Linked DNA regions of Nothobranchius furzeri. The protein of the gene in region 2 interacts with the protein of the main gene of each other region in a pairwise test. Links are inferred from orthologs where the notes say so. Each region holds a gene or a part of one and is shown on either strand. Other genes may lie near its edges. The genes, in order: rabac1, spg21, atpaf2, trim54, dtx2, s100b and reep6.

The links.
Region 1: the proteins of spg21 (region 2) and rabac1 interact in binary tests that used the Homo sapiens proteins (3 or more experiments, as listed by UniProt). The two-hybrid records come from large-scale screens. The link is inferred for Nothobranchius furzeri from reciprocal best matches to the Homo sapiens genes SPG21 and RABAC1.
Region 3: the proteins of spg21 (region 2) and atpaf2 interact in binary tests that used the Homo sapiens proteins (3 or more experiments, as listed by UniProt). The two-hybrid records come from large-scale screens. The link is inferred for Nothobranchius furzeri from reciprocal best matches to the Homo sapiens genes SPG21 and ATPAF2.
Region 4: the proteins of spg21 (region 2) and trim54 interact in binary tests that used the Homo sapiens proteins (3 or more experiments, as listed by UniProt). The two-hybrid records come from large-scale screens. The link is inferred for Nothobranchius furzeri from reciprocal best matches to the Homo sapiens genes SPG21 and TRIM54.
Region 5: the proteins of spg21 (region 2) and dtx2 interact in binary tests that used the Homo sapiens proteins (3 or more experiments, as listed by UniProt). The two-hybrid records come from large-scale screens. The link is inferred for Nothobranchius furzeri from reciprocal best matches to the Homo sapiens genes SPG21 and DTX2.
Region 6: the proteins of spg21 (region 2) and s100b interact in binary tests that used the Homo sapiens proteins (3 or more experiments, as listed by UniProt). The two-hybrid records come from large-scale screens. The link is inferred for Nothobranchius furzeri from reciprocal best matches to the Homo sapiens genes SPG21 and S100B.
Region 7: the proteins of spg21 (region 2) and reep6 interact in binary tests that used the Homo sapiens proteins (3 or more experiments, as listed by UniProt). The two-hybrid records come from large-scale screens. The link is inferred for Nothobranchius furzeri from reciprocal best matches to the Homo sapiens genes SPG21 and REEP6.

Annotation. Positions count from the first base shown.
Region 1 is NC_091745.1:74,795,133-74,799,616, reverse strand, and holds rabac1 (prenylated Rab acceptor protein 1), read left to right. Parts: upstream 1-1,547; 5' UTR 1,548-1,682; intron 1,683-2,673; 5' UTR 2,674-2,687; coding exon 2,688-2,809; intron 2,810-2,886; coding exon 2,887-3,099; intron 3,100-3,242; coding exon 3,243-3,340; intron 3,341-3,547; coding exon 3,548-3,649; intron 3,650-3,768; coding exon 3,769-3,857; 3' UTR 3,858-4,404; downstream 4,405-4,484. UniProt on the Homo sapiens protein: General Rab protein regulator required for vesicle formation from the Golgi complex. May control vesicle docking and fusion by mediating the action of Rab GTPases to the SNARE complexes.
Region 2 is NC_091749.1:20,260,803-20,265,270, reverse strand, and holds the start of spg21 (maspardin), read right to left. Parts: upstream 3,160-4,468; 5' UTR 2,819-3,159; intron 2,733-2,818; coding exon 2,670-2,732; intron 1-2,669. UniProt on the Homo sapiens protein: May play a role as a negative regulatory factor in CD4-dependent T-cell activation.
Region 3 is NC_091756.1:29,843,205-29,847,905, forward strand, and holds the start of atpaf2 (ATP synthase mitochondrial F1 complex assembly factor 2), read right to left. Parts: upstream 2,886-4,701; 5' UTR 2,673-2,885; coding exon 2,555-2,672; intron 2,471-2,554; coding exon 2,426-2,470; intron 2,341-2,425; coding exon 2,192-2,340; intron 1,747-2,191; coding exon 1,649-1,746; intron 399-1,648; coding exon 318-398; intron 205-317; coding exon 92-204; intron 1-91. Other genes in the region: glucose-induced degradation protein 4 homolog, read left to right, coding at 3,251-3,442, 3,739-3,798, 4,582-4,689. UniProt on the Homo sapiens protein: Plays a role in the assembly of the F1 component of the mitochondrial ATP synthase (ATPase).
Region 4 is NC_091742.1:14,270,618-14,274,555, reverse strand, and holds part of trim54 (tripartite motif-containing protein 54), read right to left. Parts: intron 2,549-3,938; coding exon 2,453-2,548; intron 2,339-2,452; coding exon 2,105-2,338; intron 1,421-2,104; coding exon 1,398-1,420; intron 731-1,397; coding exon 598-730; 3' UTR 1-597. UniProt on the Homo sapiens protein: May bind and stabilize microtubules during myotubes formation.
Region 5 is NC_091750.1:69,056,086-69,060,023, forward strand, and holds part of dtx2 (probable E3 ubiquitin-protein ligase DTX2), read left to right. Parts: intron 1-1,265; coding exon 1,266-1,466; intron 1,467-2,466; coding exon 2,467-2,567; intron 2,568-2,864; coding exon 2,865-3,035; intron 3,036-3,938. UniProt on the Homo sapiens protein: Regulator of Notch signaling, a signaling pathway involved in cell-cell communications that regulates a broad spectrum of cell-fate determinations.
Region 6 is NC_091743.1:84,018,455-84,022,223, reverse strand, and holds s100b (protein S100-B), read right to left. Parts: upstream 2,281-3,769; 5' UTR 2,141-2,280; intron 1,912-2,140; 5' UTR 1,857-1,911; coding exon 1,719-1,856; intron 1,650-1,718; coding exon 1,503-1,649; 3' UTR 747-1,502; downstream 1-746. UniProt on the Homo sapiens protein: Small zinc- and- and calcium-binding protein that is highly expressed in astrocytes and constitutes one of the most abundant soluble proteins in brain.
Region 7 is NC_091748.1:78,702,155-78,706,611, forward strand, and holds the start of reep6 (receptor expression-enhancing protein 6), read right to left. Parts: upstream 3,036-4,457; coding exon 2,903-3,035; intron 1-2,902. UniProt on the Homo sapiens protein: Required for correct function and survival of retinal photoreceptors. Required for retinal development.

The DNA.
Region 1 (4,484 bases), on a different chromosome or scaffold from region 2:
GTAGTTTTCAACAAGAAAACTAAAATAACTTTATTTGGCACAAACTTGAATTGTAGAATTGTGCATTCTTTTTCCTGTCTTTTGGAAAAATCTCCGACCTCATGCATACTCCAGATACAACTCATAAATCTTTAGAGAAAGGGCTTGAAGGACTTCCACTTACTATTTAAGGAAAACGAGGTTCTTAAAAGCAACTTTTGTCAAAAAAAAAAAAAAAAAAGAAAAGAAGAAAACTCATTTTCAAGCTATTTTGGGAGATATTAGGAAGTTAGGAAGTTTTGGGGGATGTTAACCTAATTTAGTAATTTAGCAATATTTTAACACAATTATCAATTGTTTGAATAAACGTTCTCCAGTTTGGTTTATTTGCTGTTATTTACCCTATTTTGTTGAGCATTTTTTTAAATAATCTATTAATACTGATTGTTATTGGAAATTAAACAAAAATATAAAATATAATTAGCTTTTTTGGGGAAAATGCAACTATTTACACCATATTTTCTGACATTATTTATACTTATAGTCGACTAAGTTATAATATATATGTGAGATTTTGAAAAAATATGACATAGAAATGTATTTTCCTCGGGAGTCAGGATATAAAATGTTAATGTACGTGAGCTCAGTGTGTGTGGAGCTGAACATTCCTGCCTTTTACCGTTTCAGCTTGACGCTCTCCACACACACGAACCAGTCAGCGGTGTCGTTTTTATCTTCAGGCAAAATGTGTATGAAAGCAGCTGGAGGCTCCTGAAACGACTCGTTCCTCTTGTGTTACGGTTTTACGCTTTATACGAGTTTATGTATCCTGTCACGGTTTCTGTGGAGAAAAAAACGGTCATTAAACACCCAGCCAGGACAGCTGTTGAGCTGAGTAAGCTAAAGAGCCGAATAAGCTAAAGCTAACGGAGCCAGCGTAGGCTAATATGCTGCTATGGCGCTGTGTCCCCCTTTAGTGCATTTGTAAAAAAAAACGCGTACATTTTGTTTTAGCATTGAAACGTTACTTTATTAATGACTAACAAAAACAGAACTGTCATAAACCCCAAGGTCTGAAGATTACATTTAACAACACGTAAAAACATTCCAACAGCTAAATTTGATAAGATAATTAATAGCGCCTCACCTTCTAATGTTTGTTTCCTTTCTTTCGCTGGCGGATCTAGCAACTTCCACAGTGCCGCGTGCCCAGTGACGGCAGCACCACAACACTCGTCTATCTACCAATCACAGCCTCTTTGTTTGTTACATGACGTAAGGTCACGTTTTTACCATTTCTGATCTGCAGTCAGTTTTTCGTGCTTGTGTGGTTTTGAGCAGCCACCGCAGAAAACAGGCAGCCGATCTCAGGTCGGCTTTTTCAACAGATGTGTTTTCGGCTGTTAAGAGAAAAAACTCCGTTTTTTGGATGAAGTAAAAATAATGCAAAAAAATAAATAAATAAAATAAAAAGTAATACAAATGAAAAGTTCCACCTGTGTTGTGTAACACAAAATTCGAAGTACTCTATGTAGCCAGTAGGTGGCCCTGCCTAGAGTCAGCGAAGTAGGAAGTTTTTTCTTCTTCTCCAGCAGCCACATCACTTCCGAGATCCAGAACAGCAACAAAAGACAGCTCAGGCTGTCTGGTGAAACTTCTGCCTACATTTTGGTGAATGATTTAAGGGTTTAGCATTTTGGCAGGTATGTTGTAATTTAAATTCTTATTTTAAAAACAAGTGAAAATTACGTTGACGTTAAATAAAATCCGGAAGTAGACGTAAACATTAGCTCATAAGCTAGCATTTTACATTTACATTCAGGTTTTAAATAGACTCGTCGTGAGTATAATATTTATATTTGAAATTGCTACTTCTAGACACTGTTGTTTGGTAACGAGAGTTTCTCGGTTATCCTGTTTATTTAGTGATGTGGCACTGGCCGGGCCCTGTTTCTACTTCTTCCTGTTTCTCTAACTAAGGATCGCCATTAAACTAGAAAGACATGTAATCATTAGACAGTGATTGTTTATACACTTGAGACCGTTTTAGATTATGACGTGTCAAATGTGGCGTTTTAAAATACGAAAAATCAAAAGTTAGCTCCATTGACATTTGCGATTATTGCTTTCAAAACAGCTTAAGAACCAGGGAGGTTTACTGGGAACACGAGGAATATGAAAGATAAAATAAGAAGTGTTGGGGTTAAAACATGTGTCTACAGTAGATCTGAAGGTCAATGAAAATGGTGCAGTTATAGAAACGACCATATGTCAAGTTTTCAGTCAATATATCTTTTGGAATCCGTTTTGTGTGTGTGTGTGTGTGTGTGTGTGTGTGTGTGTGTGTGTGTGTGTGTGTGTGTGTGTGTGCTAAAGTACCTTTTTTTAATTTCTCAAATTGTTTAATCTTTGGTATTTTGTCATCGATTCTAATTTAAAAAATAGGATTTAAATGTCCACTACACTACACTACACCAGTTTCAGAAATGTTTTATGCCTGAAGGATTTATAGACTAGAAATAAGGGGCTTCATAGGCAAAAAATAATAATAATAATACATCTACCAGAAAATGAGTGGAAACGCAACCAAAGTCTAAATAAGATGCTACACCGTTGCATCAAATAAAAATGAGTAAATCCAGGCTAATTGTTTTTGTAAAAGTTTAGTCCACATTCAATGTGATTCTGTTTCAGTCAACAGTCTCTAAATGTTATCTGGAGTGCCTAAAGGGGAGAACGTCATGGTGGACATGGACAGCAAAGCTGGAGATTTGTTCATCCCAGATGAGGCCCATCCAACCGGCACAGGGGGCATCGGAGTCCTCTCAAGGTGTGAACCACCATGCTTTCATATTTTTACCCTGGCTTTGGTGTGTTGATGATATTCTATTTTGTTTATTTTTATAGGCTCTGGCTTCCTAAAGGCATCTCGGCCAGCATGGCTAAGGAGTGGTTCGACAGGCGCAGGTTGTCCATCCGACCGTGGGCCAGCTTTGTAGACCAGCGCAAATTTTCAAAACCTCGCAACTTTGGAGAGTTGTGTCAGAGGGTGGTTAAAAATGTGGAAGTTTACAACAGCAACTATACCTTCATATTTCTGGGGCTCATCCTCTACTGCATGTAAGACCTAATCAAAGAGAGCTTCATTAAAACAAAAAATGTTAATTAGATCATCTGTGAGACTCTGGCTTCTAGAAAAATGTCGACAGTCTGCTTTAAATAGCTCCAGCCTGACAGCCCTGTTCATTTTTCCTGCTCCTCAGTATCAGCTCGCCCATGCTGCTGATTGCCTTAGCCGTGTATGCTGGTGCCTTCTACGCCATCCACCTTAAGTCTCTGGAGTCCAAACTGGTTGTTCTCGGTGAGTACATTTCCTACAAATCCATAATCTTTTCAAATTTACCAGATTTAGTTTTTTTTTTTTTTTAACATTCAAGGTCTATTTTTTTTTATTCTGTGTGAAACCTTTTAAATATGTCATCCATGCCTGTTCTGGATTTAACCCACGCTGCATTTAGCACCACAAACCCTATTTTTAATATTTTTCTTCATATTTCTTGTTTATCAGGCAGAGAACTGACAGTCCCACACCAGATGAGTCTGGCTGGAGCCGTTTCTCTGCCCGTTTTCTGGTTGGCAGGAGCCGGAGCCGCTGTGTTTTGGGTTCTCGGTAAGCTGAACATGATTTGTTCTTTCCTCGTAATCTTTTTCTGATGTTTCATCTTGATTAAGAACTAAAATCGTTTCTTTTTACATCCATTTTTCCTGTTCTGTGTGGTTTCCTGTCAGGAGCAACTCTGTTTGTGATCGGCTCTCATGCTGCGTTCCGAGAGTTGGAGGCGTCGGACCTGGATGAGCTCCTCATGGAGCCGGTCTAAAGAGCTGCTCCATGATCAGTCCTCGTTTTGACCCTTTGAGAATCTCCTTGAAGATTTTTTTATATCTATACATATATCCTTCTTCCTCATGTTTACCTTATGGCATTGTATTACGAATGCACCTTATGTTGCATGATAAATAACTGTTGTTACACAAATGCATAAATAATGAATTTCTTATTGCTTGAAGCACATTATTCGCCTTTATCTGCATATATTAAGCCTGCGATGCCTCTGGTTTGTGCCATGAAGCCTCTTGCTCTTTAGCGGAGCATCTGCGCTGAATTCCTAGCTGTGGGCATCCTGCAAAGTAAATTCTGACGGCACCATCCAAACTGCTGGTATCGACGCATGTCCGAAGGTCAAGTGCCATTTAGTTTTTTAATTAGTTTTGAACATTATGTGGCTTCTCTTTTTATTTATTTGATCAGCTCTGGTTCAGACATTCTGGTGGGAAAGGTCACGAAAAGCACATTTTAGAAATTCATTTGTAAATTATGCGTTCTGTGCTGAAACGTTGGAAGTGCAATAAATTCTGTTACTGTTACTTGTCTTTAGTTTTATTCTCGTAAGAGTTGGCGTGTACATGTGCACGCACGGGGCAGTCGCTGCGTCGGACTCGGTGGC
Region 2 (4,468 bases):
GAGACACGAGATTGTTTTGTGATTATTTAGTTTGGTTATGCAAATTCTACATGAGCCTCAGATCTTTTATTCTGTTGTGCTTCTGTCTGCTTGCCTGTCGAGCTGTCATGAGAACATCTACCGTATTTTCCGGACTAGAAGCCGCTACTGTTTCCCACGCTGTGAACCATGCGGCTTATAATGAGGTGCAGCTTTAATCAACCAGAGGAGGATGATTGGGATGATTTTTTTTTCACAGTAAAACATCGCTGCTTGTTTTCCCAACTTCACCCCGGGATGGTGACAGCAACAAGGACAGCGACACTGACATCGGCACAGAAAAGGTATGTGACGAAGCTCTTCTGAGGCTGTTCAACTCCGACACTGAAGAAGAGGACTTCAGTGGTTTCAGTGCACAGGAGGACGATGAATAAACGAATCAATAACTTTTCTGTTTGTTTGATACTGATCAGTTCAGTTACGTTCAGTTAAACTTACTGTTAGTGATTTCATCTATTTTATTCTGTTTACTTGTCCTTTAGTTGTTTTATATTTATTTTTATTGTGTACTGTGTTCCTTATCCTGTAAAGTGACCTTGGGTGACCTGAAAGGCACTTTTAAATAAAATGTATTATTATTATTATTAACTACGTTTTCAATTCAGTAGATATCGGCGGCTTTTAGCCCGGTGAGGCTTATATTGAGGTGCGCTATAGTCCAGAAATTACGGTAACCATGAAGGTATGCGCCTCCAAAAATAAAAAGGGGAAGGACGGCTAGTCAGGGTTATTTATAGACCATCGGTGGGGATGGGGTTGCAGCTGGTGTCAGAAGTATCTCTCTGATTAGTGCTTTATAAACCCTACTGTCCTCAAACCTATCAGCAACAATATTATGACTGTCTAATGAGGAGCAGGTGCTATAGCCTGTTGAGGCCTCCATCCAGCTGTCAGCATCAGAATGCAGGTTTTTCAACCAGACAACTGTAGATGTTATAATCAAACAGCAGGGCAACCAGGTCTTACCAAGTAATCCGATTTATTTTGGAAACGACAAGTTTTAATAGAGATGCACGTGAACCTGATCAGCCAAAGAAAAGGTGATTAATCCATCCAAGCTGCCTTAACACATTACTGCCTTGTTCTTGTTCTGACAGTTGTCTTTTCCTGGACAAGTCACCACTGAACACTGAGAACACGCAACAAAACATGGAGTACAAACGCTAGAATCGGCCATGTCGTATGCTGGTCCACACTGAAGTCCAGCTCCACCTGCTGGGACAGGGCGGTGCAGCGCGGATAGTCTCTGGTCATCTTCCACAGCTTTGAACCATGAAAGTGTAAACAAGCTGGTTGTCTTAAAGAACATATCAAAACTAGAGGGATCAGAGTGGGAGTACGGCACCAAGTCAAACATAAACTTCATCTGATGACAATCCTGGTTTTGATGGTGGGCGTACCCAGTGGAAGTAAAGACAGGAAAGTGCTGATAAAAGACCTTTAGGGTCACGCGTCCCAACTGTCCTCCAGGTTTACCGACAGTCCCGACTTAAACTGGAGAAGTGATCAGCCTGCTGTGTGACTGTGTTCAGGGGCAGACTGGCCCTCTGTGGATTCTAGAGAATCACAGACCACTCTCGACGCACGCTTTCAACACCTGCCCCCCCCCCCCCCCCCCTCAAAGCTCTTTCACGCTCCAGCACGCTAGGTGGCAGCACTGCACCTCTAAGTTGGATGCCAGCTACATTGGCTGCTGCCGCCAGGCAAGGAGAAGAAGAAGCTGAATTAGAGAGGAGGCAAAGGCAGTAGAAAAAACGATGCAAAACTCGGCTGCTAGTAAAAAAAAAAAAAAAAAAGCAAAGAAAAGGGTGAGGCTGAGAAAGCAAGAGAAAAATAATTGCGGGCATTACATGCTAAAGCCTCTAAATGTCACAAATTAACAGACATATTTAGCAGCAGGTTCACAGCAGTGAAGAAGGCAGGCCAAGCAGTAATGAGGGACAGAAAGACGCGCTGGTTCCACAGGCAGATCCCGGGGAAGTAAGCATGGAATATAAGAGGAGAAACATTTGCAAGGATTGATGTTAGAAATTCATGTTTAGGTTACAATTTAATTTTATGATAACAGCTAAATTTCAACACTTTAGCTGTAAAAGGCCACATGCACTGGGTAATAAGAAGCATGTTGTAGTTTTACGTAAAAAGGTTGGCAGTAGTGTTACAGTTAATGCTCACAAACTTTGAAAATCTTAAACACAGAAGTTACATTTGTAATGTTGCATTTTCATTTAGACGTGGTACTACTTGTGCAGTAAGATTAATAACCGCATAAATGATTAAGCTAATCAGTAATACAGCTTTTTATACAACATATAGTCAACATTAGCACCGTTGCTATAATTTGGATGGTTTGACCACATATTTTTGCTGCCGAATTTCCGCGCGCCGTTTACTTTGGGCCGGGCCTAGTCAGAGTCCAGGACTGTTTAGTCCCAGTCCGTCCCTAACTGTTAGGCATGTCATCATCCAGTCACTCATCACGTGAGGCCGAAACAGTAAATACATAATTGGTTGGTCACTATTCCGACTCGGGTTTTTAAACTTGAGTTGGTTTTCATCCAGAATCCGCTGTGGGCCCAGTTTTTCTTCTACAAATCAAACCCACACAGTAACGATCCGCCCATACTCACTCTCTTCAGAGGAACTGTGCTTCTGAACCAGTTGTAGTCAGGAGACACCTTTATCTCCTCCATCTGTGGACACGCAGAGAGACAAACGGTCACACCCAGCCCCGGAGACCGTGGTGTTGTTAGCTAACACAGCTAGCTCCGACACTTACCACAGAAATACACAGAGCACCTCTTCAGGCCGCTGCTGCTAGAGGAGGATTTGTCACCGTCTCCGGGAATGTTTATCCATTTCAGGGTAACATTTTCTTGAGCTGCTGCTTGGTCATATGACTCTTGTTTCTCACGCTTCCGCAAATTCCTCCGCTGCGCAGCCACCTCGCGCACCTACCTCGCGCACCTTCCTAGCTGCGGAACGGAAGAGACGCAGCCCCGACAAACCACGCCCCCGACAAATCACGCCCCCATGTGCCTGTTGAGCTCTCCCCCGAGCTCCCCTGGTGGTCAGAAAAGGGAAATATCTCAATAACGGCAGCCCTCCCAGCCAGAGAGCTTAAAGAGCAAGTAACATCTAAATTAACTTTTTTTTTGCTGATGAACTGTATAAATGAGTGTCTAATAGTGTTTTAAATGTGTGTATTCATTATTTTAACATTTTGGTGCATTTTCTTTAAAAATTAAAAATTCTGCCTAAATACTACAGTATAGCTCCACCTTCAGCTTAAAACATAGAATTTGACTCATTTTGAATAAATTTTAGCGAATGGCTAAAGAGTAAGATACTACGTAAACCAGTAGAGTACTACGTAGCAGCTCTGTGTCAAAGTTATAAAGCAACGAGCGTCTCGGCCACGCCTTGTGGCGAGTTGGGAGTTGGATTTGCAAGCGAGTGTAGGAGGCTAGCCGTAGTTCAGCATTAGCATATAGCATTAGCATATCCTAGTCTTTAGCATAGCTTTTAGTGTTATACATACTTATTTACATACTTGGCTGTTGGATATTGTAGTTTAGTTAGTGTTTGGCTGTTAGTGTAATTAGGAAAGTAGTTCGGGTTTAGTGCTCCATATCGTGTTAGCATGGTGAGATGGTGTAGTGTAGTATGGTTGCGGTAGCTCTGTGGGGTTGCACTCCTTTCCGCTGGACTCCCGCCTGGTGCTGTAGTTTACAACCAGCATTTTACCCGCGATTCTGCACGTCTCCGTTTGAAGAGGGAGGCTGTGCCCACCGTGGCTCTTCCGCGATTTAGGTGCAGCCCACCGACTCTGCTCCCCCACCACGGCGGGCTCCAGTCTGAGGTGAGTCAGCTAAATAAAGTTTTAACGTCTTCTAAAGACAATTCCCTACCTAAATGCAAAGTCCGAGAGACGTGGTTCACTTCCTTTAGCTAGTCAGTCGGTAATTCTGCAACAGTGTCTCTAACTAACGCAGCACTAGTTGACAGACAGCATTACAGTGTGAAATCCAGCTTGTGACCCGGTTCTGTGAGGAATTCTGTTCAGGAGGTCGCATTTCAGGCTCTCCACATCATATGTGACTGACTTTTACGTTATAACAACGATCACACACTAGGAATGTTAGAAAGCACCTTTATAGGACAGTTTCTTTTGTATTTTATCTGACTTTATAAACTCCCAACAACAATGTGCTTCTATTTTTTTTTTCAGGCTAAATCTACCCAAGACACTGGCTGTCAGACTGATTTAGCTGCAAGAATGCACTTGTCCAGGCTGATGTGAAGCTTTACCGGCGTAGCAAAGGTGAATTATTTTTAATAATCTTCTATGTAAACATTTTATTATTACCTTCTAGTTTTAATTTGTTTTACAGATTATTGTTACACATGATTTTATGCTCTTTTAAAC
Region 3 (4,701 bases), on a different chromosome or scaffold from region 2:
AAGCAACCAGACAAAAAGTGAAGCTCAAAGTCACCACAAAAATAAATAAATCACGATCCCTTTAAAAAAAAAAAACATCTGGACTTCGTACCTGTCATGGACCAGAGGTTGTAGGAGCTCAAGTGTTGCCTGAATGTGTCTTTGGTTGCTTCTGGAATCTCAGGACCCAAAATGCTGGACGAGGATCCAACAGTGACATCGTACCTGCCATGCGGTCATGAAAGATAACCATTTAGTGCAGCATCTTGGCCGGGAGCGTTTGGATGGCTTTAACACAAGCAGATCAGCTCTGATCACAACAAAATGCTGTCTGTCACCTGTTTTCAATCCAGTGCAGCACAGGGTCCCACTCATTCTTCTGGAGCTCGACCAAACCTGGAGGCTCATCGACTCTGTAACTACACAAAACAAAACAAATAGTACGAAACTTAAAACTAATCTGCAAACAGCCACCATCAATGACAACTACTAAAATATCTAAATGACAACGTGTCTTTTCCTAATTCATTTAGATCTGAACTTTCTTGCACCTGGTTTTATGAAGGCTATTTAACACCTGGGGTAAAACTGACAGCATTTCAGGAAAAAGACATCGTCCCTGCAGTCAGACAGGGTGGTGGTAGTGTGATGGTCTGAGGCTGCTTCCTTAGCAAAACATCCTGAAGAAGAATGTCTGACCTTTGACCTTAAACAGGTAATTCATGCTGGAAAACCCTCCAATGTGGCTGATTTCAGTTTCTGTAACGAGCAGCGGGACATAAATCTTTCACAGAGATGTGAAAGCCACATGTGCTTGATGACAGCTGCTGGCTCCAAGGGTCAAATTGGTTTGGAAAGATTTAATTCTTTAATAAATGGAATCACTAATTGAAAAATGCATTTTGCATTTACTACAATAGAAATAATCAGGTGTCCACTTGCTCAACTGGCCTGTGTGCATTCACCTTTGACGGATTATGAAAATCTACTCTGCCATTCATCTGAGCTCAACTGTCTTGTGTTAAAAGCAGTGATGTATAAATATTGGTATAATGACCTTTGATCCTTACTGGATGCTTAGTTTTCCTGGTTTAGTTTCAGTTAGGCCTGGGCGATAATCAAATCATCACCCAGGCCGAATTTGTTGTTGCTGGCGATTAAAGAAAGCAAATCAAATTTTTATGTAATAGCGCCTTTTTGGCCCCCCGGAGCTTCCGTAGCATTAGTTTCACATAACCGCGACAACAACGTCACAGCACGTACACGGATGTGCAACAGCAAGTGACTCCATGGCCACCGGTGAGAGTGGGAAGTTTGTTCCTACGAGAGGAATTAAATCATCCCTTGTATGGAACTGGTTTGGGTTTGCTGCGACGGATGTGGAGCTTGGCACTTTTATTCCAAGAGGGTGATCATTTATTCATTATTCATCTCAGAAATAAGGGTAACATTTCTCTTGCTTGTGATTAAATACAAAACAAAATTGGCTTTAAGTTGCCTTCCATTTGTACTTATTGCTATTCTTAATAATTGAGGGGGAGAGAGAATCGTAAATCAAATTTAAAAAATAAAATCAGAGATTTTATTTTTGGGCTGTATAACCCTGCCGTTGTTTCAGTTATATAAACAAATGTTTTATCTGATATAGATATAAAAATAACAAGTTTACCAAACGGTGTCTGTTTCCAAATACTTCAGAGCAGCAGTGATCATCTGGTCCTTGTTGCGTTGAGTTGGATTGTCCAGAGCTGTGTTGCACAGAGTCGTCTGCAAGAAGTGTTTAGCAAGAACATCAGATCCATGATTCAGTAACTGACAGGACATAGCTATAAGCATGCATACTGTATATAATCCATAAATGGACACCTCACACTCAGCTGGACAACGCATTTCCTGGAATGTACCCTTATTACAGAGGTGAAGTCACTCGTTGTATTTAAAATTTATTTTCTCAATCAATCAATCAATCAAAATGTATTTATGAAGCGCTTTCCATACAAATGCTGCTCAAAGCACTTTACAATATTAAAAACAACCCAGCAGCCAGTTTCCCACCCCTCCCACACAGATTAACATAAGAGATCCCCTTTGTATCTCCGTCCTCCCATCCTCAATCCCGTCCCAAGCAGATGCAAACTCCCGCACACACACGCACACACGTAATAGAGAAAGGGCAGCTGGCTGACAGCTTTATGTGTGCATAGCCAAATACCAGATGCATAGTGTAGAACTTGAGCGTATCCTTCTGAGCATCCCACTCTGTTGCCACAGCGACGGCCAGGGCCTCATTAGGCACTACGAACAGGTTCCCACCTGGAGTTTTCAGTTTCCTTCTGTCAAGGTTTATCTCGTAGAGACCACCTGTACAGATTATTATTGCTATTAATATTTAGCACAACCATAAGACAGAATGATGTAAACACAGGAATGGAACATTTCCTCTTACCTTCACCTTGGGAGATGCTTACATCTTGATAAAACTTCTTCCTCTCTGGTACACAGCACAACATCGCAAAAGAAAACAGGGTTAATGAAATCGTCAGCTAAACGGATTTACTAATATTTTCCGTCTAACCTGATGTGGCGGTGGAATACTTCCGCGTACAACTGGAGTGTTGATGCCTCGGGCACACGTTGTAAAGAGAAATAACACTTCCAAATGGACTCTTGAGTCTAATAAGACTTCTAAACATGGCTCAGCGACTTTGGCGTAAGGCTAATAATAAAACAGAAACAAATCGCAAAGCTTTTTCCCACCGTTTCTCACTTAAAATAGCGCAACATCGTAAACGGAATGACATTTACATCTATCATTTACAGACTGTTTGCAGTTTTAGCATTTGTTCTCGTCTCAAGCTCCGGCGTTTCAAGCACGCTGGCTGACCTTCTTTGCGAGTTGGTTGACAGTGTCGTAAACTGTTTACTTTAGTGGGAAATGTAGTTTTTTTAGGAGCCTCTTAGTCCCTTTGCGCTGCATTACAAAAGGGGGAAAAACTACAACCAAATAGTCACGTAAATCCTTCTGCACGTTCAGCCAATAAGCGTTTAGAATCTTCGTACGGCGAACTCAGTCGACCAATCAGAGAGGTGAATGCTCCTGGCTACAGCACAGCAAGTCCACTTACTTCTCGAGCAGCTTGGTAAACTGTGCTACATTGGAATTAAGTGAAATTTGAATATCGGTGAGCGTATTCAGTAAACATTTAGCTGTTCGAAGAGGCGAACACAGTGTTTTGACCGTGGTTGGTGCTCAGCCAGCGAAGTGGGAGCCATGCCCGTCCCTGCTGGATACATCAGCGACTCACCCGCAGCGGCCTTCACATCCTCGGCCTCACTTATCCCGCCACCCCCTATAAACACTCAGCAGCCCGGCGTCGTCACTTCGCTGCTGTACAGCGGCTCTAAGTTTCGGGGCCACCAGAAAAGCAAAGGGAACTCCTACGATGTGGAGGTTGTCCTGCAGGTAGGAATTGAAGCGTGTATACAGTCATTAATGTGATGTGTCAAACCGACCGTGTGATGATTGACAGCTGAACACTCTGTCCTACCTGAATCAGACCATCATCAGTGTTGTACTTGGTCTCTAGTCAATTTTCACTAAATGCTGCTGAAAAGGTGGACTTTTTGATATGATTTTCAAAGACCAACAGGCTGTTTTAGCATGTTTATGAAACATAATCATGGGATCCATACGAATGTAGATTAAAGCACGTTTATTGCTGACTTGGATGATGAAAATCTTTTTTTTTCTTCTTAAAGCATGTCACAATGGAAGATTCCTACTTGTGTGGCTACCTGAAGATAAAAGGGCTGACAGAGGTGAGCAGGGACACGAAGTGTTTTGTTGCTTAAATTTGATTCATACTGAATTTTCTTGCCTTTAGAAAGAAAACTGTATTTCTGATTTCTCAAAAGGCCTACATCGGTTTAATCCACAATTTTCTAATTCTAGCCCATGCATGTATTTGAAATGAGACTGAAGAACTTCACCTATTAAAACTGTATTATTTCAGTTTCGCATCCTTTAAATGGCAAAGATCAGTGAGATGCAGAATATACAGATAAATAAACAAGTGCTAGATGGCTGCTTCCTGATGGAGCAAATCATTGCCATAACACTTCTAGTCTGTATGTAGTTCTCTTGAGTCTTACCTCTGCATCAGGTTTGTCTAGATTAATTGTTAACAGAAAACTATATTTTTATAAGTGTAAAGGTTACACGTAGAAGAGTGGAAGAGTCAGGATATTTTCCTGGCGGAATAAATTAGTTTTTAACACTTTACCTCTGCAGAAATCTCTGTTTCTTAAGATTATCATCTCTTTAGATCAGTAGCTTTAATTTAGGTAATGGAAGCAACATCAGCATCAGATAATTAAGGAATTTCCTAAGATCCGTTCTTGTTGTGTCCATCTGGATTCATGGTCAGACTGCTCTTGTTTTGTCTTTGTGACTAATTAAATATGAACTCTTTGGTGATCAACTGTAACCCTGACAGAATGTTTATTTCTTATTGAAACTGAACCTGGCAGATTTGCTGATACTGGCTGTGATGTTCTGGCATTCCCAAACTAAAACAGAAATCAACTCGCCCGTTCTTCTAGGAATATCCAACACTAACCACGTTCTTTGCTGGAGAAATCATCAGCAGGAAGCGGCCGTTTCTCACTCGGAAGTGGGATGCAGATGAGGATGTAGATCGTAAACACTGGGTAAGGTCCAAC
Region 4 (3,938 bases), on a different chromosome or scaffold from region 2:
GTCTGAGCAGTAACTCGCCAGCATGATGTTTTCAACCCTTTATTGGTAAACTGTTTACAAAGTAAGGACTAATTTGTGTTTTTATTTTGTTTATTTAGCTGGTGTGAGTCCGTGAGAGGTGAGCAGAGTAAATCAGCTCAAATGCTGCTAGGAAACAACCAGCTTCAAAGATCTTTACACAAAATAATTAACTGAAAAAAATCAACAAAACTAAAATATTAAAACATGAAATCTGCTTCAGCTGGCTACATAAGTTACTGCCGCCGCCACCGGGATTCAAACCCACATCAGCACGCGGCGAAACTAGAATAAGAAGCTCACACTTGAACCCCTGGACTACCACAAAAGACATCACAGATGCTGTTGAAGGCACATCTTGGAAGCGCAGGTATGGGAGGAGCTTCACGGACACAAAGCTTTTTCCCGGGTATGCATTCAGGCTGACAGAAATAACTCATGTGAAAGATAAAAGGACATCTCAATAATAATATTTTATCATCTGCTGAGCTGACCTTTGCTCTATAGCGTGATGTGGGACCTTTAAGATGTGCTGAGGGAGTCTGCTGGATGAACCTCAGCTGCAATCCCAGCTCTGCTTTACATGCAGGAGCAGAAGTCCATGTTTCTCAGTGAGTCTGCGATGTCGTCCGTGTTGATGATGAAGTGGTCCATGCTCTCGTAACTGAGCTCCAGGCGCTCAAGGTTCCAGGTTCTCATCACCACTGACATCCTGTCAAAACACAGATTTCAAAATAAAACTCAAGCCCTGCAGCTGTTTAATATAAAAATGGGCTTAAACTTTAAACATTTTGTTTATTTTATTAGCCACTCTTGTTACTATAGCGATGTTTAAGGCTTTTGCACGATGAAAACTCAAATTAAACAATGAAAACCTCCACACTCGACTCATTACAGGTTATTTTTCTCTAAGATGAAACCGGTGTGGAACCCATAAATTCACTGATTAATAATAAATCTGTCAAAAGCCAATATTGACTCGATCCATCAGCCAGTGAACACACACAGATCCCCGGTCGTTCACACGAGGCGGCCGCCGATGGCAGAGCAGATTTGCTTGTTTTTTTTATGTCAACAGTTGGATCTGTTCAATAATTAATCAGAGGTGACACGTGTGAGAGCTGATGACTGGGCAGGTTTACTCAGTGCCAAAGCTGCAGCAACTAAAACCACAATCACCTTCAAGCTTTTCAGCTGAAGGTCAGATGAAATGGTGCGGTTCTAAATCACAGGAAATCTGCTTTAATAAACCAGTTTTTAAAAATCTGCGTGCAGACATGCTTTGGTGTTTATGATGCTAATTGATGGCCTCCATCGAAAAAAATGTGTACAGGAAGTTAAATACCTCCGAATGAGAGCCTCGCACCACACACACTCACCGTTCCAGCAGGACATCGGAGATCTGTGGATGGAGGAGAAGATTCCTTCAGTTATCTGTGTGAGCCACACCTGTAAGCTCTCCCCAACCCTCAACGGTTCGTGTGCGCTGAGTTCCCCAGAAGTTCCCAGCTTCATGAGGGTTAGGGTTTGACATTTACACACGTGTGAGCACACACCTCATACTTTACAGGTCTCGTTCACTAATGTCTGTTCTTGTAGAAACCTGATCTGTCGTGGTGAGTTGCACGTGCACCCTGAACGTTTTCCTCTACCCTAGTCACCTGCATCAGCAGCGGGGCAACAGTCGGGTCAGAGAAAGCCAATCTCTTCTATGTCACAGGGAAAATTCATATTCGTGATCCCGCCCACCTTGGTTTAGAACCACCCACAGGAAGGAGACAGCAGAGCGTCTCGGCGAGTAGAAGCTAACCGTTAGCATTAGCTAATCCAAGCATGACGGAACACGTTCAGCTTTGTGTTGGTGGAGACGTAACGTGAACGCTGCATTTTTACCAAAGAGCGAACAGAGGAAGAGTCACGTTGCTGTTAGCCAATCAGAGGCGAGACGTTTGAATATCATGAATATTAATAAGCTAAACTCATAACTTCTTTTCCTCCTTCTCTTTCAGTCTGAAATAAAACAAATAAGAGCATGACTTGTTTCCTCTCTGCACCTGATTCATGATGCAACAGGTGTGTTCCTCACCTGGATGAACGAAGCCATGTGAGGCTCGTCCATGGATCGAACGGCCGTCTCCACCAGTGCTACGGCGGTCTCCAGGTGGTCGCTGTGCCAGCTGATGAGGGATCGCACATGATTCAGTTTGTCATCCTGATGTTTGCTGATGAATCCAATCAGCTCGTGCTTTCTCTCCTCCAACGTTGCCATCAGGTCGTCGATTTGGTCAGCCAGGTTCTCCCTCTGTCTGTGAGCATTCTCCTGAAGGGAAAACGCAGACGAAGGACCTGAAAATGTACTTGACCACATGCAGAACATGTGGGTAGGATCAGTTAGGTAACAGGAAGGGGGGGGGGGGGTGTTTGTGGGTGTCACCTCGATGCTGCGGCAGATTTCCTCCATCTGAGAGATGGCCGCCTGGACTTGGTCGTTACTGGCAACCAAGACAGCAATCCCGTCACTCAGCTCCACCTGCACAGAGTCAACAAAGTAAAGTTCTCCCATGAGAACTGAAACTCTACCAAACCTGGTTGTTTTCTCTGTTTTTAATATTAACTTTATCTGTTTTAATAAAAAATGCTGGTTTGACAACCTCAACATTTAATCTCTGTGGTTCTGGGTTGGTCAGCTCCTCCAGGTCCGAGGTTCTGGATCTCCACCCGAAGAAGTTGGGTTTCTTCCTCTGGGTTTGGAACAGGTCATTGCCTCTATGAAGGAGCTAAAGTATCTTGCTCCTGAGCGATGGAGGAGAGCAGACCTCTGATTTGGTCTGTTGTGTCTGTCATCATGACCAAAACAAGATCCTGGATGGAAGACACCAGGATGAGTTTCCTTAGCTGCTCCTCCTCATCGGAGAGTCAGCTGAGGTGTTTGGGGCATCTGTCATGGATGGTTCTTGCTCGTCTTCCTCTGGAGGGTTTCTGGGCCCCTGGGAGGACAGCCTGAGGCAGACCTGGACCTTACCAGCAGGATTATAAATCCTCTCTCCTGGAAACATCTTGGAATTCTTCAGAAAGACCAGAAAGGGAAGTCTGGGTCAACCCAGCCTTGGACAACTTGTGGAAAACAGATAGAAATCACAACTTCTTTTCCAGTTTTGGTCATTTGAATAATTAAAACATTTTCATATAATTTTTTTTATAAATTATTGATTTCCTGTTTGGTAGATTTTTGTTGTTTTTTATTTTTTTATTTACTTTTACACACACACACACACACACACAAAACTAAATTCCACAAAATGTTTTACTTCCCCATTTCAAATTTGGACAAATCTGCAAAATAAATAATTAAATTAAATTAATCATTCATTTATATGCCTCCACTACTTAGTTAAAATAAAATAAAATATAATAAATCATTCATTTATATTAGCCTCCACGACTTAGTCTTGTTTCTAATTAGAAGCAAATAAATTCCATCTTTCAGTTCTTTTTAAAACACAGAAAAGGTTTATTTACCTGCAACGTTTCGTTTGCGGCTGCAAACATCATCAGGTAAACGTTTTGTGTGTTTTAAAAAGAACTGAAAGATGGAATTTGAAACTCAACGCAGCAAGAACACACCAGAGAAGCAAGTCAAGTTTAAAATGTGATTTCAATAATCATTTCTTGTATTTATATATAAAATCTGTGTTTACAGCCACAGCGGCCGACCTACATGAAGTAAATGGAGTTTATCTAACATTAAAATCATGAATGAGCTGAAAAACAACAGAAATCGTTTTACAGAACATGAAATGAAGCCTCACAGTCGACCACTCATCATCATCATCATCATCATCATCATCATCGTCGTCGTCCCTGATCCACATCCGATTCAAAAGCTCTTTATTATTTATCAGAAGACCAGATCCAACACA
Region 5 (3,938 bases), on a different chromosome or scaffold from region 2:
CATGAAGCTGTTTTTTAACACTTTGTGGATCTTTTAAGGCTCACTATCGATATTTATTAGGAAAGCTGGTGAGAATTAAACTGTTAGGCTGCAGTTTCTAGACGACTTTCTGAGCAGCCTCTGTTAAGAGAAATGAAGTTCACATCTTCGGGACTGATGAGCTAACGGCTAGTCTGAATTAGTAGCTCCTGCCTGGGTCGGGCTAGCTGTTGACTCAGTCCTGTGGCATATAGATGCTATTCATCCAAACAGAGGCCCTTCCAGAAGGTTATTTATAAACTTTGGACAGAAACTGTTTATAATGTTTTGTACGTTCATGCTGCTCGGGTCAGCAGAATCATTTCATCACGTTTAAAAACGAGTCGGATAAAAGCTGGATTTAGATTTTTTCGTAAGCTTTTTAATTTTTTACGCCTAACCGGACAAATCCTGTTAACGTGACAGCGTTCGGGTGGGTCCAGTCTGGTCCGTCTGCAAGAGTTTTTATTCTGACGCCACCTTCCAGCCACGCCTTTTTGTCCCGCTGAGGTCAGGTTTGGATGCTTCGCCGAACGTTTGCAGGTAAAATATTCATCAAAGCTGCTGATTTCTATTCTTTTCTCTGCCTTTTTAATTCCTGCTGCTCGCCTTTTAATTTAGCCGGCGCGTTCCGAACAGACGGAGTAATTCCAATCAGCTCGGAGGACCGGAACCTCATTAGTGGAACGCTCCAAAGCGGGACACGAGTAAATCATTTCAAATGGAAGGTCAGCGGTGCGGCGCCGCAGATTTAATCCTCATTAGGCGGTAATGAACGTTAACGGTAACCAGAGCCAAACTTCACCGTTTGGTTTGGATAAACTTGTGATGAAAACACGACTTCCTTAAACGCCGCCGCCGTCGCCGTGCTCCATTTGTGAGCGAGTTTTCAAACTGAAGCCGGCGGAGACAGAAAACATTCTGTTTACGTTTGTGCATCTCTGATCTCATTCAGAGTGAAGGATTGTGGGTAGTCACAGCTCCAAGTTCTGGTTTTTGCTCTGACACACACACACACACACACACACACACACACACACACACACACACACACACACACACACACACACACACACACACACACACACACACACACACACACACACACACACACACACACACACACACGCCTGAGTTGCAGCGGAGGCGTCGGCCGCTGCTACGTTTCTCATTCTTTTGATTTGTTCCTTTCTGTTCCTGCATCCCTCCACTTGCTCTCCACCCTCACCCGCCTCACCCCGCTCCAGGCATGGCCTCCATTTTGATGTCAGCAGTGGGACTCGGCGTGCACTTCACCTCCGCCCCCCTCCCTCAGCAGCAGCATCAGCCGCCGCCGCCTGCTCCCTTCGCTCTTCCTCCTCCTCCTCCTCTCCTCCCCTCAGCCAGCAGACCCAACAAGCCCCACAGCAGCAGTTCAGTTAGGAGAGCAAAGAGGCAGCACAGGAGAGGTAGCTACCTCACCCAAAAATACCCATAATCCACTTCACCTCCATCCTCCTCCACCCGTCCACTCATCTCCACAGGCTTGAGGAACATCTCATCCTCCATCACGACTCGTTTCCATGCGTCCTCACTCTAATCCACCTTGCCGTTTGTTTTGCGTCCCTCGACAACGAGGATAACGCGACACAGGTGATAAAAATGTCTCACCTGTGGATTTTCAGCGGGGGTTCAGCTTTGGAGGAGAGAAAAGGTCAAACCTTTGAGCCAGCAGGACGTTTATGATAACGACGAGTTTGAGTTTGTGTTCCAGACCTCAGGTCTGCAGAAACCTCAGAGAAGCTAATGAAAAGGACAAAAAGACGAGGACAGGAGCAGCTTCAGCCGTCAGAACTTTATTTGTCCTCAAAAATACTACATTTAATAAGATTAGGAATATTCTGTGAAATTCTGGAGCCTCAGTTTAATAAATCCCTAAAAATGTCTCATTAGGTTGATTTTAGGACGTGTGAGCATCACTAGGTTTGCTTTATTTGATGGACTTGATTGGATTTTGCAACTTCTGGCTTCAGATTATAAAGAAGAAATGTTGAAAGTGATGCGTGGATATTTACAAGACGCTGCGCGCCACAAACTGTCTGTTTTCACAGTTATTTATGTGATTTATTGCAACATTTTATCGTTAATAACCAACAGATATTGGAGCTGAAAGCACTCGGTGGCTGTGGGAAGAAAAACCTTCGTTTGCCAGTTTTTCTTTCCCAACAAACTAAACGAGCTCCCTCACCATCAGAAACACGGAGACTCCCTTTAGTTCATGTTGGGTCCCGTTTCGCCGTCCATCAGCATTTCATGTGTCCTGGTTCCATTAACTTCCATCAACCCTTGACTCTTAACGTTCTTTCTGACGGCACCCTCCTACAGTAACTCACCTGATGAGTAGAAGTGCTGGAGTTGTTCGTCTCTCCAGGAGAAAAATAGTTTCATTCCATCCCGTCTGATTTTTAGTTTCAGCACATTCTCGACTTCTCTCTCCGCCAGTGCTGACTCGGAGCTCTGAGGACGTGATCCGGCGCTACATGGAGGTGGTGGCTGAGGTTCCCGAGGAGGTAAGTGTTGTTGCATTAAAGTAAACAAGTCCCAAATGTATTTAAAGGTATATTTAGACCTTCTGAAGGGAGTTTATTTCTATTTGTTGGTTTTATTTGAAGTAGAGGGAAATTGAAAAAGACAAAAGCTCTCAGGACAGCAACACAAAAACACCATTTCTCTGAACAGAGGCTGTTTTAGAACTTTTACACATAAATGCATTTCAAGATGGCTGTAATATCCCTTTAAGACACGGCTCAAGGCATGATGGGAAATGTTGTGTGAAGCTTTAACACTCGGAGACTCGTCTCTTCCAGGACTGCATCATCTGCATGGACCAGCTGTCCAGCCCGTCCAGCTACGAGACGCCGCCGTCCTCAGAGGACGGGGTTCAGAGCGTCCTGCCGGACACCGTGGGAAAGTTCATCACATGTGGACACACTCTGCACATGCTCTGCATGCTGGCCATGTACAACAACGGGACCAAGGTACGGGGGACGTTTGGGCTTTCTTAAAGCCTAAATCAGGAAGAAGCCTGCAAACAGAATCGTTGTTCATACAGTTCTTGTTCAAGTGTCCAAATTAAGACAAAGGATTCGGTTCTGTTTTGATATAGAATGTTTAAAGAAGTCCTCGATTAGATTTTCTTTAGTTAAGGCCTTTAAAATGACAGAAATCCTTCGATCCAAAGGTTCTAAAAATAGCACGGGGTATTTCCAGGCATGCATGTTAGCTCCAGGAGCAAAACGATGTTAAAGTTCGACTCTTAACGCCGTTTGTGTTTGATCAAATGTGATTAAATATCAAGTCAAAGAAATAAAAATGCATAGAATATTAAACGTTATTTTTGTTTATAAGGCAAGAATGGGGATTTGGAAACATAATGGTGTATAAATGATGGTAATCGGTATGCTATTCTAACGTTTTAGTGTAAGTTTCAGGTGTTTTGGGGGGTTGGGGTTATGACAGGGTATCTGCGGGTCCTTAAAAAGTCTTAAATTTGCTTTTCCAAATTTAAGGCCTTGAAAATCCTTAAAAATTACAAATAATCCTTAAATCCAGTTTCCAAAGGTCTTAAATTACCAAAGACCCAATAAACAAGATTCTTTTATTTCCATAAAATTTTCGTGAATTTCTAGTTTGTGTTCAGCATTTTTAGTGTACGATGTTGGCGTATGCAGAACCGTACACGTTCAGCTGGTTGTGAAAGGGGGCCATTTTTAGATGAGCACATTAGCTGGTTAAGCTAGTGGGAGCTTGCGCCATGGGGAAGTGCAGTTTTTATGGTAACTGGGTGGCTAATCCCACGTTTGCGACGTGGTTAGCACCGGTTCCAGGCAATAGCTGGAAATTATAGCTTAAATGAAATTTTAAAAATAGCTTAAATTTGG
Region 6 (3,769 bases), on a different chromosome or scaffold from region 2:
GTGACGTTCCATGTCCCAAAAACTAGTTTTCTTGTCCGGGGATTGGACCGCCAAGGCTCCCGCCTTGGTCTGCCACCCGATTCGCATTGCACCGGACCCTTCATGTTCCTCCTGCGGGTGGTGGGTCCACAGTTGGACGAGCCCATGTATCCGGTTCGGGCTGGGCCCGGCCGGGCCCCATGGGCGAAAGCCCGGCCACCAGGCGCTCGCTCACGGGCCCCAACCCCAGGCCTGGCTCCAGGGTGGGACCCCGGTAACCCTCCGGGCCGGGTACTCCGACTCTTCGTTTTAACCGCCATGAAAGATCCTTCGAAACACCATGTTTCCCTAAATAATAAATAAATAATAAATAAATAAATAAATAAATAAATAAATACTTACATATTTAAATAAAATATACATTTTAATGCCAATTAAGATTGCTTAAAAGTATTTTTTTAAACTTCATACATGTTTTACAAATTTTGTCAGGAGGTATTACAACTATTTTTTCATGCATTGCATTAATTAATTATCTGTATTTTTAAAAATTAATATTCTTACAAAACAAAAAACATGAAACGATTCCCGAATCATGTAAAAAGTCAGTATCGATCTACTAAGAATTTGAAACAAGGCAAAATTTATTCTGTTTAGGTTTAAAATTAGAAAAGCAAACAAACCAAAATGATTTTTAAAAAAATCACAATTTGTTATTGTTTTATTATATTTAATTTCACCAATATTCAGACAAACATTTAAACTCGTCTGTTTTCATCCACATTTTTATTTTCAGATTTTTTTAACTAAAACAAGCAAACAAAAAAAATGACCTGCAGTAAACAAAACTAAAACTACAAAATAAAGTTAGAAAAATCTTCTGCTTAAACTTCTTCATTGTGAAAATGCAAGTTTCTAAAATAACATGAGAAATTAAATAGTTTGTTAAACATTTTAAACAAGAAAACATCAAATAACTGAAACTTTAAACCAAATTGTGTTCATTTGAACAAAACTACGTTTAAATCTATTAAATTAAATAGAAACATCAGATGTCAGATTAGCTGGAAATGATAAAATAACATTATTCAAGAGCAAAATATGTTGCTTGATTCTTTTATCCTACATGTTTCAAATTGGAATTTAATCAACCACACCCACCAAAATAAAAACAAACAAACCTTCTGACCACCAATTTTTAAATAAATTAGCTTTTTGTTAAATTTTCTGATATTTTTAAACCAAAATCAGACATTTTAGAAAATGTATCCTTTTATACAAATTGTCCGAAATGCTTTTATTCTTTAAAATTTCCAGAAATTCTTAAAATCAGAAACTGGACAAAATAAAACTTGTTAGTCTTTAATACCAACATCAAATGTAAGGAGTAAAGCTTCTAAAGCACTGGAATAACTGAGTTTAAACCAGATTAGCCAGATTTAAACTAGTTCTAGGTGAGGCTACCTCTGGTCTGGACTAGTCTAATGTCTCCACAGTTTCTGCTCTCTTTTGTCTCCGTGTCCTCATTCGTCCTCATGTACAAAGAACTCATGGCAACAGGCGGTAACCACGGAGACGAATGCCATGAACTCCTGGAAGTTGCACTCAGAGTCTCCGTCTGTGTCCAGGCTCTCCATCAGGCTGTCCAGGGTGGACTGGTCCTTCACATGCTGCAGAGACACACAGGTTTATAGGAGAGCCACCGTTCTCATCATGACCTCTGACCCCAACCCTCTCACCGCCATCAGGTCTGGCAGCTCGTCATGAAGCAGATCCTTCAGCTCGCTCTTCTTCAACTTGTGTTTGTCCCCTTCTCGCTCGGAGTACTTCTGGAACACGGCGATGATGGTCGCCATGGCGTTTTCCAGTTCGCTCATCGTCTCCTGACAGATGTTTTCAGCTCCAGGGATGAACGTGTAAAAACCTTCGTGTCTATAAAAGACATGTCATACAGATGTGATACGAACAGACACATGATGCGGGACATCATACGTGTGGAACAAAGCTACGATGACATCGATGTAAATCAGCTGATAGGATAAAGCCTCCACCATGTTCTCAATAAATTCGACCAGAACCTAAAGCTCATCAGCACGTGGCTGCGGATCCAGCAGCATCCCATAATCTACAGTAAAAGTGTGTGTGGGTGTGATGAACTCACCGTTGGTGTGTGTGTGTTCCTGCACAGCGTGTGTGTCCGCAGACTCAGGCTGCAGGTTTTATACTGCAGCAGCCTGGTGGAGCCGGGAGGAGCAGATCTGAGATCAGCAATCCTGTCGGTCAACCCGCTGACCAATGAGGCGGAACCACCCCCACTCACTCCACCGGACCGCCGCTCAGAACCGGGATCTCTGGTCTCGGACCAGAGCAGGAACTAAACAAAACTTTTGTGTCACAGTTTTTTTATTTTTTGTATCTCATTTGTGTTTAAATGTCTCTGATGTCCGATGAAAATTGTTGCTTTTAGATAAAACTACAGAAACATTATTTGAAACGTCTAAATGAGAAAAACTTTAACCTGCAGAGTTTTACAGCTCAGGTATTAAAATCCTGATCTGTAAAAGAGGAGAGTTGGATCAGTTCTGGTTCTGTGACCCGGTTCCACCTCCCCTCCACAAAGCTGGTTTCAGAGGAAGAGCGTGGCTGTGCATCTCAATGAACACACACACACACACACGCACGCACGCACGCACGCACGCACGCACGCACACACACACACACACACACACACACAACAAGCTGAAAGTGTCAGACATCTCTTCTGGGATCACCATCGGTGAGCAGGTAAAACTTGTGGCAGATGTGCTGACCTCCCCGCACAGCCTTGTTAAACCCGGTGACCTTTGACCTTGCACCTCACTCGCCCCGTGCAGGAGAGACAGGGCTGTGTATGCCAGCACAAACGGCGTCTTTGTGCGATGATAAACAGCGCCCGATGAGGACGGACGGCTGCAGACTGGCTCATTGTTCACTTCAAACACTGAAACGTTGTGCTGGGAATCAAACCGCCGTCCAGGAAGCTGCAGACAAAACACTGCCTGTCGTTCATCAGCCTGATTCATTTACAGCGAGACTCTGGGGAAGAGGAGGAGTTGATCCCAGATGTTCCTGATCCAGCAGATTTTTATTCCCTTTGGGTCAGGATTCATGTCAAGCTAATTAAGACTCACCTGTTTACTTATTTACTTGGTAAATCTTTACAATAATACAGTTACGTAAGCATTGATAAACAAAGGATCCCTTCATTTTCATTCCCATTAACTATTAAGTGTCCTTAAGGACAAAGGGCCAGGGTGGGGTGGGGTGGGGGTCTGCTGAGTAATGCATTACTTAAAGTGACGGTGTGTATTTTCTTTGTCTATAGCGGGCAGTGCATACCCACATCATTGCAAGCAAGCAGTATTTTTGTGTTCAAGTAAGACCTTACCTCACCAGTAGCCACGTTTACATGCGCCAAACTTCCCCAATCCGATTCAAATCTTGGCTGATGGGAAATCCAGAATCTCTGTTTACATGCGCACTAACTAAAATGATCCGACCATGCCGTGAGTTTGTATGCACCAAGTATTCAATCAGATTAAATAGGTTGAGCATGCACAGAGTCGTCTTTCCCAGAAAAAAAGTAGACAAACGCCATGAAACGAAATGAAAAATGTAAAAATTTCCTGCTTTCCTACTTCATTTAATCATTTTTTTTACTTTATTTTGCTGATAGAAGTTACGTTTTCTTCAGTGAATCACTGCAGGTTTATGCTTTGCTGCATTTTAAATCGTCATTTTTAAAGTCAGG
Region 7 (4,457 bases), on a different chromosome or scaffold from region 2:
CAAACACGAGTCGACATACTGTAGCCATATTACACCAGTCCTGGAACATCTTCACTGGCTCCCCATCACATTTCGTGTGCATTTTAAGATATTGATGTTTGTTTTTAAAGCCCTACACGACCTAGCTCCTCCATATCTGTCCGACCTGCTGACTCCATATGTACCTACTCGTATGTTGAGGTCAGCTGACCGTCTACTGCTTTGCACTCCCCGGATGGCCTACAAATCACGAGGTGAACGTGAGTTTGTCCATGCTGCCCCCATGCTCTAGGACTCACTGCCCAGTACAGTCAGGCTGGCGTCCTCTCTGCCTGTTTTAAATGTCGTTTAAAAACCTACTTTTATGACTTGTCTTTTAGACAGTGATCCATGTCATCCTATTAGGATTTTATAGTTTTTATTGTTGTGTTTTATCGTCCTATTGTTTTTACTTTTGTTTTAATTGATCCTGCCTGTTCAGCACTTCGGTCAGCTCTCACGCTGTGTCTTAAACTGTGCTATAGAAATAACGTTGGCATGGTATGTTTACAGCCTGGTACCAGAACATGTTTTTGGTTTAAATGATCTAGTTTACACTCATGACAACTCTGAGGGGGGTGAATGTTTTTCTCACTCTTCTGTTTAAGTGTATTAAAAGTCTAAAATTCTGTATAATTAATGAGCCTCAGACCCACGTGACCACAGAGCTAGCTCCGTGGAAAGGCCTCAGTAGAGCCTCGGTCTCGCTTAAAAACTGTTCCGTCATTTTCCGTCTCTCAACTTAGACCATTAGTTGTAGCGTTTGTGTTCTTTTTTGGATATTTTTGTGCAATTGTTGGACAAAATGACTTGCTGTGGCATTAATTGCACTAATAGAGCGTCCAAGGAGTCTCCACTTCATTTTTTCGGTAAGTAAAATTATATTTATGTATTTTAGGTCACTGCCGAGCTGAGCTTAGATTTTAACATGTACTGTTTAACCATGACATTTAAATGTAATAGGGTAAAACCCAGTGCATTTAACATAATGCTGCACTTTAGAAAATGGGTTGAAATATAACATGTTGGTGGAGCTGGGTTCCCACTATCGGTATGGTCCCCTCCCCTCAGCGGCAGCTCGGCGCATCGCAGCGGCGCCTGTCTGCTGCGCGGCTGCCGGCTTGTGGAGCTCTCGGTTGGAAACCTCTGTGTTCCACCCGGTTTTACCCAGCGGTCAGCCTGGCACATCTCCGACTCAGAAGCTCCGGTGTTGTGCACAGTTTGCTAGGAAGCTACCTCTGTTAGCTTAGCTCCCCCCTCCGCGTTGGCTTTGGTTTAGCTTGTAGCTACATCACTGTTCGACGGGTGTCATCATTTGATCCCAGCCTTACAGCCCCACCTTCAGCTCCACCTCTTTTCCCTTTTATGGGATTGTCTGGGCGCGACGAGACGTGTGACACAATCAAAATGGCGGTGGTGGCCACCTCCCATTTCAAATTAAAAACTTCTCATACGAGCCTATGTACAGGAATCGTCCACTATATATATATATATATATATATATATATATATATATGTCGATGGTGTCAAGCTGGGAGGTATTGGGTCCCATTTTTTAAAAGTCTTTGGAATGACCCGATTGGGATTTGAACCCCCATCTCCCAATCCCAGGGCAGACACTAAAGTAAAAAAGGTAGCACAGTCAAATAAAAAAGTAGTTCACTGTAGGATAATTATTTGATGCTCTGAATGCTTTAGACAAAACAAATTTACTTAAATAATTGGTTGTTACAGAGAGCCAACTTCTCGATCGAGAGGAGCCAGTTAAGGTGGCTCGGGCATCTGCTTAGGATGCCTTCTGGACGCCTCCCTGGTGAGGTCCGACTGGGAGGAGATCTAAAGGAAGACCCAGGACACGCTGGAGGGACTATGTCTCTCTGCTGGCCAGGGAACGTCTCAGGATTCCCCCAGAGGAGCTGGCCCAAGTAGCTGGGGAGAGGGAAGGGTGGGCCTCCCAGTTAGACTACTGCCCCCGTGACCCATCCCCGAATAAGCGGGCCGAAAACGGATGGATGTTTGGTTGTTTGTTTGAAAGTTGTTAATAAAGGTTTTTATAAAAAGTAGCTCAGTGACCAGCATCCCTGCATGCATTGCGGTCGATCACGCAACACTCCCTTTTCCAGTTCAGCGATTATTTGCACACTTGTATACCGCACACTCGAAGCCTTACTGCACACTTCCTGCAAGTGCACTCTGCTTAGTAGACAGGGTTCAGAAGATTTCACAGATGTTTAGTAAGAATCAACAGGAGGAGAGGCTCCAGAGATGAATAAAAATGTTCAGGACAGCAGGACTTCATCTTGCTTGTCATCCCAGGAGTTTTCTAAGTTTGAGCAGAACGTTGTAGGGCACGGGCTGTAGCCAGAGCTCCTTAAAGGAAAAGCAGCTCACAAGACACTCCCGTAGTTTGGGATTTAAAACAGGAAGTGCATGATAAAGATTAGCCACTAAAATGTGGACTTCTGAAGCTGTGTCAGGATGGGACTCAGAGCCGAGTTGTAGGAAAATAAAGAGTTTCAGCCGCTTTAACTCCAGGACCTGCTGGGAACCTTCACCAGAACACGGTCTGGGGGAAGGCGGATCAACAAAAGGAAACGTCTAACGATGTCAAATTCAGAGGGTTTCTGTTTGAACCAAAACCAACAAACAGGAAATCAGATGCAACTGAAAGGAACATAAAAGTGAGATGAGGAGGCAGTTTAAAGTCCGATTATGCAGAATAATAAACAGAAGCTTTGGCTGCATCTCCTCACAGGAGGATTAACTGAATCCTCTTTTCTCGGACTCGTCCAGGCAGGTACCGTTGTGTCACACCTGGACAGAATCCACCCAGAACCACGGACACCTTTCATCACCTGAACACAGCAGGAGCTTCCTCACATACCCACAGCCAGGACCTTTTTCTTGATCCCCGTCTTTTCCTCCACCTTCCCCAGAAAATCCGTCACCACGTTCTTCTCGTTCAGAAACTTTTCTGCTCGGTCCTTGATGGAGGTGAGAACACCCAGCAGTCCCATGGTCTCCAACAACGTCCTCAAAGAGAAGCAGAGAGGAAAGGATCCTGGACCGGCAGCTGGCAGGTAGTAATCCTCTCACAGCAACAATCTGTTGTAATGAGGAGGTGGAGCGGTGAGGGAGGAGGTGCCTCGTGAGCATCCGTTAATCCCAAAATCATTCATTCAAAAGTCTCATTCTTAGATAGAAACATTAAAACTTCCCCCGATGATTATGTTATGGTTATATAGTTGTTTAAAGTTTCAGTCTTTGCCTTTTCTCCATTTCTCGTTTTTATTCTCCATCAAACACAAAACAGATTTACTCATCCTAAAGGCAAAGTTGTTCATATTTTTGAATCAGCATCTTGAAACAGTGAAATGTCACTCAGACCCCACCGCCCTCTGTGGCCAGGATACCTCAGAGTCCTGGGCCACCGCCTGTTGTGCTGCTGCCAGCATGTTTGTTTTAGATCATGGACACAGTTGTTTGTTTAATTTAGTGATGAATCACTCCTGTAGACACTAAAGAAGGCTGGGGAGACATTTCAGCTATTAGATTTGGGTGTTAAAAAGAAAAAGGCACAGCGAGGAGATTGGTTTCATTTTGGACCACAGATAATTAATAATGGACACTAGGGGGTGCTAAAAGCAAGAAAAACTGCAGAGTGTGCCCTTAAATGCCAGTTGTGCAGAAACAACACAAAACATCAAGGGGCCATGTAGGTTTTTTTAAACCTTAAATGGTTTTATTTATATATATATATATATATATATATATTTTTTTTTTTTTTTTTGGAGCACACTAGAACTACAGCTGGTAACTTTTACTTATAATGTGTTACAGTCATATCCCCATTCGCACATTCGGGTGCCTTCACAAGCATGTGAGAATGGCCTTGTTTGAGATGAGCGGCGCCTCGCCTGGAAAACAGGTGAGAGCAGACGGACGCAGCGGTGGGAGTGGCTAAAAGCCTGCGTTTAAGTGGGACAGGTTTCTCTACATGTAGCTTGCGGGTGACGATGGCTGAAGAAATCGCATTAGCGTTCATAATTGCGTAACCCTCTGGTGCCTGTTAGCAACTGAAACACATCCTCACATGCGTGTGGAGATCATGTGTTGTAGACATGTGCTTATGGAGACATGACTGTAACAATAAGTAAAGGTTAGCAGCTGTAGTTTTAGTGTGCTCATAGGAAACGTGACAAAAGAACGTAATCACATTTCTCTGTATGGCCTGTATAGTTGTCATCATCAACGTAACATGATTTACAGAATACATGTGACCAACTATCATTTAACGTTCCACCACAGGATGTTTGGATCAAAAGTCGGCGTTGAAGCTTCTTTCCGGAGTATTTCTCTTATCTGATGGCACCATCTAGTGGCTGACAAGCATATCACACAAAAAGTCTGTTCCTCTGTTTGTTTAAGATGGCGACTTC